Linked DNA regions of Schizosaccharomyces pombe. The protein of the gene in region 2 purifies or fractionates together with the protein of the main gene of each other region. This does not show direct contact. Each region holds a gene or a part of one and is shown on either strand. Other genes may lie near its edges. The genes, in order: cfr1 and bch1.

What was found.
Region 1: the proteins of bch1 (region 2) and cfr1 purify together in Schizosaccharomyces pombe (affinity purification with western blotting, with the first as the bait; one study listed by BioGRID). This does not show direct contact.

What each region holds. Positions count from the first base shown.
Region 1 is NC_003424.3:3,267,980-3,272,957, reverse strand, and holds cfr1 (CHS5-like protein Cfr1), read right to left. Parts: upstream 2,762-4,978; 5' UTR 2,724-2,761; coding exon 861-2,723; 3' UTR 809-860; coding exon of another isoform or gene 693-808; 3' UTR 591-692; downstream 1-590. Other genes in the region: bouquet formation protein Bqt1, read left to right, coding at 259-541, 693-808; syb1 (synaptobrevin family receptor), read right to left, coding at 4,218-4,381, 4,446-4,647. UniProt on the Schizosaccharomyces pombe protein: Required for cell fusion, independently of fus1. Appears to have a role in transporting proteins that are involved in mating. May act as a scaffold to retain cell fusion proteins in the cisternae of the Golgi.
Region 2 is NC_003423.3:3,783,754-3,788,865, reverse strand, and holds bch1 (ChAPs family protein), read right to left. Parts: upstream 3,079-5,112; 5' UTR 3,019-3,078; coding exon 2,987-3,018; exon of another isoform or gene 2,938-2,986; coding exon 2,811-2,937; exon of another isoform or gene 2,788-2,810; intron 2,666-2,787; coding exon 1,046-2,665; exon of another isoform or gene 991-1,045; coding exon 820-990; 3' UTR 553-819; downstream 1-552. Other genes in the region: SPOM_SPBC31F10.17C (uncharacterized protein), read left to right, coding at 91-141, 217-549; F0-ATPase epsilon subunit Atp15, read left to right, coding at 4,404-4,432, 4,505-4,679.

The DNA.
Region 1 (4,978 bases), on a different chromosome or scaffold from region 2:
ATGCAGTCGTCAATAGAGGATGTCCAAGCTAATATCAAATAGGTGTGGATTTCTTTGTGTAAAAGAAGTCGATTCCTATTCTTTTTTTTAATCTTTTTTGATTTCAAATTTACACTTTTAATAGGTTGTTGGCTTTAATGTCTATCCTCTTATTATTATATGTGGTGTGTTCATATTTTATGCACCTCTTCTTCTACAAACGACGCGTTTTAAAAAAAAATCCTTTCACCCATCCTAAATGATACTGATTTAAACAAAATGCATTTATTAACTACGACGCTTATTTCTTTTGAACAAAACAAAGTAGAATATTTAACCCAAATCGCGATTTATACTCAAACACCTGTATGCACTGATTCAAACTGTGAGCATGCTAGATTTTTAAAACACAGCCTTATTCAAGTTTCAATTGAAAGGATAGAATATTTATACTCGATATTTCCGAATATATGGCAATTCGCTTTGCTTTGCCAAGGTCAAAATAAAGAATCATTGATACATATGGAAGAAGACGCCAGCACGAATTTCAAACTACGATATTGTAAGTTCTGTCTATCAGTATAATGAAACATAATTTCAAAACCTCCCATTACCCATTTTTGACCTAGTTGATTTAATTTAAAAAAAAAAATTTATTAGAGAACGAAAAAAAAATCCGAAGCTATATATTTACTAATGCTAAATGAGTTTAGATGTACTTCCATGGTCTAGAAGACTGCAAGGATACCAGAGCATTACAGTTCAAAATGGTTCCCATGTGCCTTTAGTCAAACGATTGGAAAAGTGGAGGATATTCGTAGAATGTTAACATATAAACATAAGAAAAAAAAAAGACTGCAGAATACAAGAGATCAATGTCATTAATCAATGTTTACACTTTCAAACTCGTCAGAAGATTGTATAATTTCTGCTTCTTTGTTGGGTATTAGATTGTCATCAGCCGTAGGTTCCGAACTTTGCTTAACTGTAGTAATATTTAGATCTTCTTCTTTATCGAGCGCATTCAGTTGCAAGTTAGTAGTATGCGCTTTTTCTGGCTCTAAGACTTCAGAAACTTGAGGGATTTCCTCAATTGCACCGTTAGTACCAATATCTTCAGCTGCTGCGGGAGATGGCTTATCATCGTCTGAATTTTCCTTAGTATCTAAAGGGGCTTCGATTATTTTCTCATCTGTCAAGCCATTCGCATTTTCAGAATTAGCATTGTTTTTTTCAACCTCTTCGTTAGTTGCAGGTCCTTCTTGATTCAATAAAGATTTAACAGCGTTCTCTTCAATTATTTCGTTAGGTTCAGCTTCTTCCTCATTCGCTGAGGATTCAACAGTACTCTTTGTAACTGCTTCACCGGAGGTAGTTTCTTCTTGATTGATTAAAGATTCAGCGGCTGTATTATTTTCTTCTTTTTCATCTTCAAGTCCTTCAGTCTCCGGGGTATTGTTTTCTTCGTTCACGTTAATCTGCTCAACGGCTGGCAAAGAAGATGGTTTTTCTTGATGATTGTTAGCTTCAACTTCGGAAGTTTGCTGGGCAGCAGGTGTACTTTCCAGATTCGAATGTTCCTCAGCATCCTTTATTTGCATATCCTCTTCGGGATTTTCCTGCTTTGTAGAATTTTCTGGCTGATCCGCTTTGATGTTTTCCGAAGAAGTTGGAGCTTCATTGGGCTTACTAGAATCACTTCGTAAACCAATGTCGCTGGAAACATCGATTGATTGCTCAGCCTCAGTTTCAGGCGCTTCAGCCGGAACAGAAGCTGAACTAGATGGCTCAGCATTTGCACTATTTTGAGTTCCCTGTTGGGTTGTTTGCTGTGGAGCTTTAGCTGATGCAGCACCTTGAGCAACTTCAGCGGTATTCTTCGGTTGTTCGGTTGTAGCATTGAGATTTGGTGCAGCATTTTGCGCAGCTTCTACAGAATTAATAGAAGCGTTAGCATTGTAAGAAGCGCGATTTTCGATGTAAAAACCACTAACGTTCACCAAACGTCCTTCAGATTCGCATTTCAACAAATAATCCAAACCTAAAATAGGGATATTGGCAGCTTTTGCCTTTTCGTACTCAGGACCCCCAGTAGAAGAGCAGATAAAATGAGTTGTATCGATACGAACGCTAGTTTGAATTGGTCTAGCGTGAATGCGTTCAATACACTTTTGTAAAGCCTCCATCTCATTGGGAACCATGTTGCCAACACACACTTGAATTCCTGTGAGATCTATCATTCTTAACGTTTTGATGGTAATGTGTTTGCTGGGAAATGTTCCCGCAGTCGTATCCAAAACAAGGGAAAAATCGTATTCTGTATCGAGAGATAAGCCACTCAGCTTGGCATTGTGAGTAGTCATGGGATTAGATATGTTAAGCACTCGAACATTATTACGGTACAAGCAAAGGCTTTTGAGTCTCGCAGTGGAGAGTTGTAAAGGATCCCATTCCAATACAATGCTAGTCTGAGTAGCATTCTTTAACTTAAGAACAGGAGGAGACGGCAATTTTTGGCCATATGTTTCAAAAATTTCTTTTTGAACATCATCGAATGCAGTTTCTCTTGCTATCTCTTCCTCTTTATTGTGATGCACAGAGATATCGATTATAGAGCCTGCAGTCGCGTCATTCGGCAGCAACACGGATGGAAATTCTATAATATGAAATGAAGGTGTCAATAAGATGGCCATTCCCGCATCTATTTTGGCCACAGACACCATAAATTGATTTGTATCATCCATTTTAGATGCTATTATTGATAATCCCCTTTGGTTGTGGTGGAGTGTTTACCTTAACCAGCACTCTTACACTTCTAACTATAGGTAGCACTTGTTACCTAAGGAACCGTAGTAAAAATGTAGGTTATAATCATCTTTGTTTTGATAAATATCAAGAGTTGTTGTGATTCCCTGGTTTTTCACAATCTATTTACATATCAAACTTATATATTTTTTAAATTTTCTGGTTAGTATCATTATAAGCGTAATTCTAGTAAGGAAGACAATTACAATTTATTAAAATTATATACAAATATTTGAAGATATATTTAATTCAATCACTCAGTAAAAGTGAACGATTTAATATATGTAGTTTATTATTATATTTCAACGAGAATTCATACAAACAATATTACAAAAAAATCTGTTGATTTTTTCAATCATCTAAATTATTAAAATATTGGGCTATTATTATCTATTCTTCAGACTAAAGCATTTTAAGGGGAGCAAATATACTACTTTCTGATACAATTAAATTCTAAATTACGTTAAGTTACATTGATAGTAAACAAAAACAAATGCAGTACTGTTGAACCCAGTTGATGAATATATCTTAATTCGTAAACCGTGCTGCATTCAAAATTTAAAATACTACACGAATGAAGGATTAGACCACAATATCTGTTGAGCAAAATAGAAGTCGAAAAATAATACAATTGTTAATCTGGATATAAAACCACGTGTGAGCAAACTTAAAAAATATTTCCTAATTATCAGGTTTACACATTTCACTCTATAAAATTAATTAAGAATAGTGGTTTTTTAATACACCTATCAGTGCAATAATCAGTATAAAAAGAAGCTAGCTTCTAAAGGAAAAATATGAAAATAAGATAACAAATTTGCTCCCGTACTAAGTACTTTTGAAGAATTAGAAAAAAGCCGTAGACAAATGGAATATCGAGGCTAATCTGTATACATTAAAACATTATCCATCTTTATGCTATAGGGTTATCCATATAAAGAGCGGAATAGAAAAGAAATACCGAGAAGGAAACAAAAATTCTATTTACCATCTTAAGTACGGAAAGTAATGATAATTTTGTATCCATAAAGATTTCCTTTGTCAAGCAAGCAAGGCCCATGATATGTATGGTGAGGTGTAGAAAGAAGAAAAGAGGAAAAAGCAATACAGGCCAAAACCAAATTGCTCAACAAAAAACCAACCTGGTATTCACTATCATTGACCCGTCAGTCATCAAGTATGTATATGCAAGAAAAATAAAAACGAATAAAGGATCTTGAGAAAAAATGCGTTATCTCTTTGCAAAAAAAGTGGCCCTGTCTACATCAGAAGCTTTTTTCTTAAAATTCGATTTATAGGTTGTTGTGTCAGGCAAGAGAGAAAGAAAGAGAGAAGGAAGAAAAAAACCAGAGACAAAAATACGCTTGAAAAAAAAGTATTCAAACAGCAAATATTTTGACTCGGCATGCGACTAAGCTACATGATACATCTTCTTACTTGCCATGAAATTTTGTTGCGATAGGAACAATAATGACAACAAGTAAAATGATGATACCAATGATAATGCAAAGACGCATACGCATGTCCTTCCACCACATCTTCTTGCGAACACGATTGGCGCCACGACGGAAGCCTTGCGCGCTAACAGCAAGGTTATCTTAAAGAAGTTAGCTAAACGTTCAAAAAAAAAATTTAACTGTTAACAAAAATAAATATCATACCTGTTTTATCTTGTAAAGAATCAAGGCGTTCTCCACGTTCTGAAACCTTAGAAATGTTTTCACGCATAATCCCCACAGTATCGTCAATCTGCTGCTGAATTGCAGCTGTCTTCATATTCGGCGTCGACGAAGCAGCAGCATTTCCACTACGAACAGCTGCAGAAGGCTCCGCCGGGATATATGGGTCATATGGCTCAGACATGGTCGTATGTGTTAGTTGGTGGAGGATTTATTTTTGCGCTCGGTTGGAGTTGATGTGTACCAATTCGTTAATCCTCTTTCCATTGCGTTAAACATCTGGCTTTGTAATGTTGGGTTGCAAAGCAGTTTTGTGATTATACTTATATAAATTAAAGAAAAAAAATAAAATAAAGTAATAAAATTACTTCTTGCCTTTTTACAATAAGAAACATGTAACTAGCTGTACCCTCATAGTAAATAACGTAAACAAATCCTTAGTATTGGTGAATTTGGGAGGAACCAACTACGCCCTTTGGAATAGAGATTTGGAAACACGTCTTGTTTCTTGGCGA
Region 2 (5,112 bases):
GTTAAGAAAAATAAACAAACGTGAACACTATAGAAAAGAATTGAATTTCTAATCAAATGTTAGACAATGACAACTACACCATTGGGAAAGATGATCCAGGATGGTGACTTTGTATTCCAAAAAGCGAAGAAGGGCACTACGGTATGTAGCCGGGATGTATTTTCAAATACGTTGATGGGTTGTAGGAAATTCTTTGTTGTACTAATTGCTATGTAGATACCCAAGGCAAGGAAAAAGACATTAACAAAAGATTTACAAGTACAAGTGGCGAAAGAGCTGGAGCAAGAATCATCGTCAACTTTCCGATTTGCTTACGTCTTCCCTAGAAAAGCCCAAAATCACTATTATTCACCGAGTCGGACACATACAAGTAGCATAAAAAAGAAGAGGCCTAAATTGTGTTCTAATATAAACCTGACACCTTGGTCATTGATTGATTCGACATCTAATAAATCTATTAGAGAACAATCTCGAGAAATGGGGATTATAAGCATACAAAAGTGGGCTGAACAAGCAAGGATGCGCTCACTCTGCTTTCCAAAAAATTAACAAAGTCTGTACAATTACTTAAGAGCTCTTGATAGGAATATCATATATGATTTAAAAATGGTAAAAAAATTTTATTCATGACCAGAATATTTATATGCGTGTTAGATAATATATATAAATTCATTTAATCTCGATGAAAACACGAAAACGGGAAACAACATCACATGTTTTGACTAAAGAACGAAAACCAGAACGAAGGAAACGTGGAATAAAGAAAGCAAAGAATGTCGCTTGAAAACTCACTAGACGAAAGCTTTAATGAGTCTAAACTTACAATTCATGGCCAGGAATTTGAAAGGCGATAGCCCATTCAAAATACAGCTTATGTATAAGATTAAGGATATACGGATCAAGTCTAGTAGAAGCAAGGATACTCTTCATCTTCAAAGCGCCATCTTGCATAATGCGATTTTTCATTTGCTCCAGAAGAAAGGGGGAATACTAAGATTATGTTAGCGTTTTATAGTTATGGAATCTAAAAAAGAAAAAAACTCACCTCTTGATACCATCGGTAGTTATAAAGTGTTAATTTAGCGATAGCGGTCAAAACGAGCTCAATATTATTGTCTTCTGAATAAATTATCAAAAGAGTTTTCCAGGCCTTAAAAGAAAACATACTTTCCAAGCAAGCGCAGAATGCTTCAACAGCCTCAACACGATGATGCAACCGAAAAGCAACCTCACCTAGTATTTCCCATTCTGCAGGAGCTTTTCTGTAAGCTAGACCTTGAGATTTAAAGTGAGTATATTCAGCGCGCCAAATCGTAAATACACGTAAATCCTCATATAAAACCATAAAAAGATTATCTAGCCAGCGCTCACAGAGACGTTTACTCTGAACAGTGGCATTTTTTGGAAGAGAACCAACAGATGTTTCTGGTTTGTCTAAACCAACAACTTCTTCTGCAACGCTTTCTTCTGCAACTTCGTTTTGATCGGGAGAAGCGTTTCCTTCTGTAATATCATTTAAGGATCTATATTCTTCTTCCATCACAAAGACAGCTGAACGAACCCGCAATAGTTCATCCCAACCTATTTTGGCACATATAAGGGTGAGCATTTCATATGCCTTCGCAAATGTACCACGAAGACTGGGAGATGGTAGGCGAGCTAAGTAAGGATCGGTAATTTCGGTAGAAACTGTATAACCGTTCTGCGCATTATTTTCAACTTCCAGTTCTTCTTTAGGAAAATTGACAGGAAATGGTAAATGAGCACGAGCACTAGGAGGCAAAGGATAAGCATCTCTTTCATAGTAAGTATACATGGGACAGGAGTTTAGAGCTAACAACGCTGATTTAAAATCCTCCAAATGCAAGTATACATCAGCCAAACATGCCCAAGTTGCAAATTCTGATGGAGAAGCATGAACGGCGCGCTTAGCACAGATAAGTGCAAGGTCATAGCGCTCTTTTGAAATCAGAAACTTAACTTGAACAATAAGCAAACTAGCGGACATTCTTTGTTTTAGCAATGAATCATGCAAGATACGAACAGCATGCACTTCATGGTCCATTAGTAAGTATAGTTCAGCAAGCAAAACCGATACCTCTGGAATTGACACCCGGAGCTTTTCAAAAAGATTTAGAGCAGCACTGTAGCGGCAGGTTTGCTTCAAGTAAGCGAAAATTCCACGAACCAAATGATTATTTACATGCGTAGGTACCCGAACTTCAGAAGAAGACCCTAGAGTATAACCTAACGTAAAAAGCTGTTCGGCAGCCTCAAAAAATCTTAATTCTGCATCAGGATTTGGAATGGGGTTAAAACGACGATGTCCTGCAAAGCGAGAATTTGTATCATCAGAATAAAGTAACGAACGAAGGACTTCAGACATATATGCTTCTGTCCACATACGAGCATCGACAATATGCTTTTGCCCATTCTCATCAATAGCATATGTGTCAACACCTCCAGGAATTTTAGCTTCCACACGAACATCAACTTGAGAGAAGACATTGTAGCAACAGTAAACTCCGTGACTAACACGCCAAGCGTTTCCCTTCCCAAACCATTGTTGACTTTTATCAAGAGAATAGGAAAGCGTATTTAAATATGCCGCTAGTGAAGCTGAGGAAGAAGCATCAACTCCAGATACAAAGTGATAAGTTCCAACCTTTGACGAGGTTAATAATACGTAAAACGTTAACGTTTCAATAGGAGTGAAAAGTTTGGTAAAGAGAGACTTGTCTTGATCCTTTCCCCACTAATCTCCAACATCATTAACACTACAGCTTTCGCTGCTTTAAAAAGTGACATACCTCTTTTGATGGATTTTTTGCATTAACTTTTATAGTATTGACCTGATCAGGAGGCCCGAGTTCTTTAAATTGTGCGATGGATTTAGAACGCGCATCTAATGACTCGTTTACACGAGTTTCTAAAAACCTATCGTCATTGTTTAGAACTTCAGCTCAATTATATTTAAGGAACTTACTCTGGTATATCCTTAAAGAATGAATCACTCATATATCATAAATTGGAATTAATATGCAAAGCAGCGTTCAATTCGGCCTCGTGGCTGGTTCCAGTTAAGAGGTTATGGTGTAGCCGCAGCCTGACTTGCTGTAACGAAGTGTAGCAAGCGACAATTAGGCAATCGTCCACAATTTCCTTATATATAAAGAATAAATAAATATCATTAAATTATGCATTTAGTGTATTTGAAAACCAAAAAATAATTGAATATTATACATTTTGATTTGTATCTTCATTCATCCTGACAATTGATGATTTAGGGAAGTCAAAAGTAGTACCCAACGAATAGTGTAGCGATAATTTTTTCTTAAGATTACAACTCATTGATTAATACAATTGAAATAAAAATTTCTTGTTGGTGCGGAATCCAACGCAATTAGTATTAAAAAAAAGAACAGCTTTATGTTAGTTTCCACTAAAAGTTAGACCAGTCATACGCACAATGTTAGCTTTAAAAAACTCGCACAATACGCTGGTAAGCATATGATAAATTAATACAATACTTCCAAGCAATTGCGAATGTAAGTTGCTGTGAATTTTTTTCCGAATTTCGAAATCTTTAACGAACCTTTAATGAAACGTCTAAAAGTAGAATCAGGAGTTATTGATTTTTGCATTATATATCTCCTTGACAAGAAATTTTTTGTTTCATCTAGCCATACATTTTGATAGATGTCTCTTGCAATGAACCATTGTTTGTTTAAAATATCCTAAAACCAAATAACATGTGCGAATACGTTATTTAATAGTGCAAAATTCTACAAAGAAAGAATCGAAATTTATGCTTAAGCCATTCATGTTAACGCTCATCAAGAAAGCTAATTTGACTAAATACAATCAATGGAGAGTGCTAGTATACATTGCTTGTTTTAACTGACATTTTTAAATTAACTACGATAAGTGTTAAGATTAAACAAAGTGAGAAACGTAACAGTGCTTAAGTTCAGTTTTCTTGCGAATGTATTGAATTACTTTCACTTGCCCAGCTAGTAAACAATTAAGGCTTTGGTACCGCTTTGTCCTTCTAATAAATTATGGTTAGTAGCGAAAATAACCAGCCTTTTGACTGATGAGAGGTATATATTCATTTGTCAATTCAAATTAATACGGCCTTTTGAATATTTATTTACTGAATAGTGTTGATTAATAAAAAGGCAATCTGTATAGCGATGAATCGTTAGCATCACCAAAGTCATTTTAATCAAACTGCGCTATATTTTACTAAGAAAAGCACGTTACCAATGTTAGATTAACGAATGTACATATTGAACTCAATAAATGTGTCCGACCCTTACCGAACGGGGTTTCAAGAGAGTGTCATGGATTTTAAGTTACCGTTCCCCCATCTCTGTACGATTTAGCAATTCATTGAGAAAATGGCTTTTGCTTGGAAGAAAAACTTTAGGTATGGATTCATTTCTTGAATGTGAACATTAAATATACCCTGATAGTTTTACTAATGAATGAATATTTGTAGTTATAGCAAATATGCTTCTATTTGTTCCCAAACTGTTCGTCAAGCCTTAAAACCGGAAATTAAAAACGAGGTTAAAACTCATGGTGATGCAGAGTTCCTTTATACTCGATGGAAAAATGGCGCTCAGGAAAAAACGGAGTCTTACAATTCGGCAAAGTCTGCTGATAAGGAATGAAAATAAAGGCTACAAACGAATTTTTTGTCCTTCATTACCCATTGGTAATATTTCAGCTTCATTTGATGTTTCACTCATTTCAACAGATATCACTGATGGTTTACAATCTCTTATAATGATTACTATATTCGACTTAACGTTGAATTACTAACTGATCCTTTCAATAAATTTTTATTACTTTTTTTAATGATGAAGTTTAATAGAACAAGGTAGTTTGCTCTGTTTTCTTAAAACTGTTGAGAATGGCACTTCAAATCATTGTGGTTGCTCTGTATTTTCGATCAAATCTATAATCGGCCTTTGTCTCAAAACCAAAAATTGTTGATTTTACTATAATGAGATGTAGCTAATTTAGAAGTAAGTGAGTTTTGTCACTAATATCATTCATTAACGTAGTTTTTGTTTTTGCTACTACCGAGATCATTTATAGTCG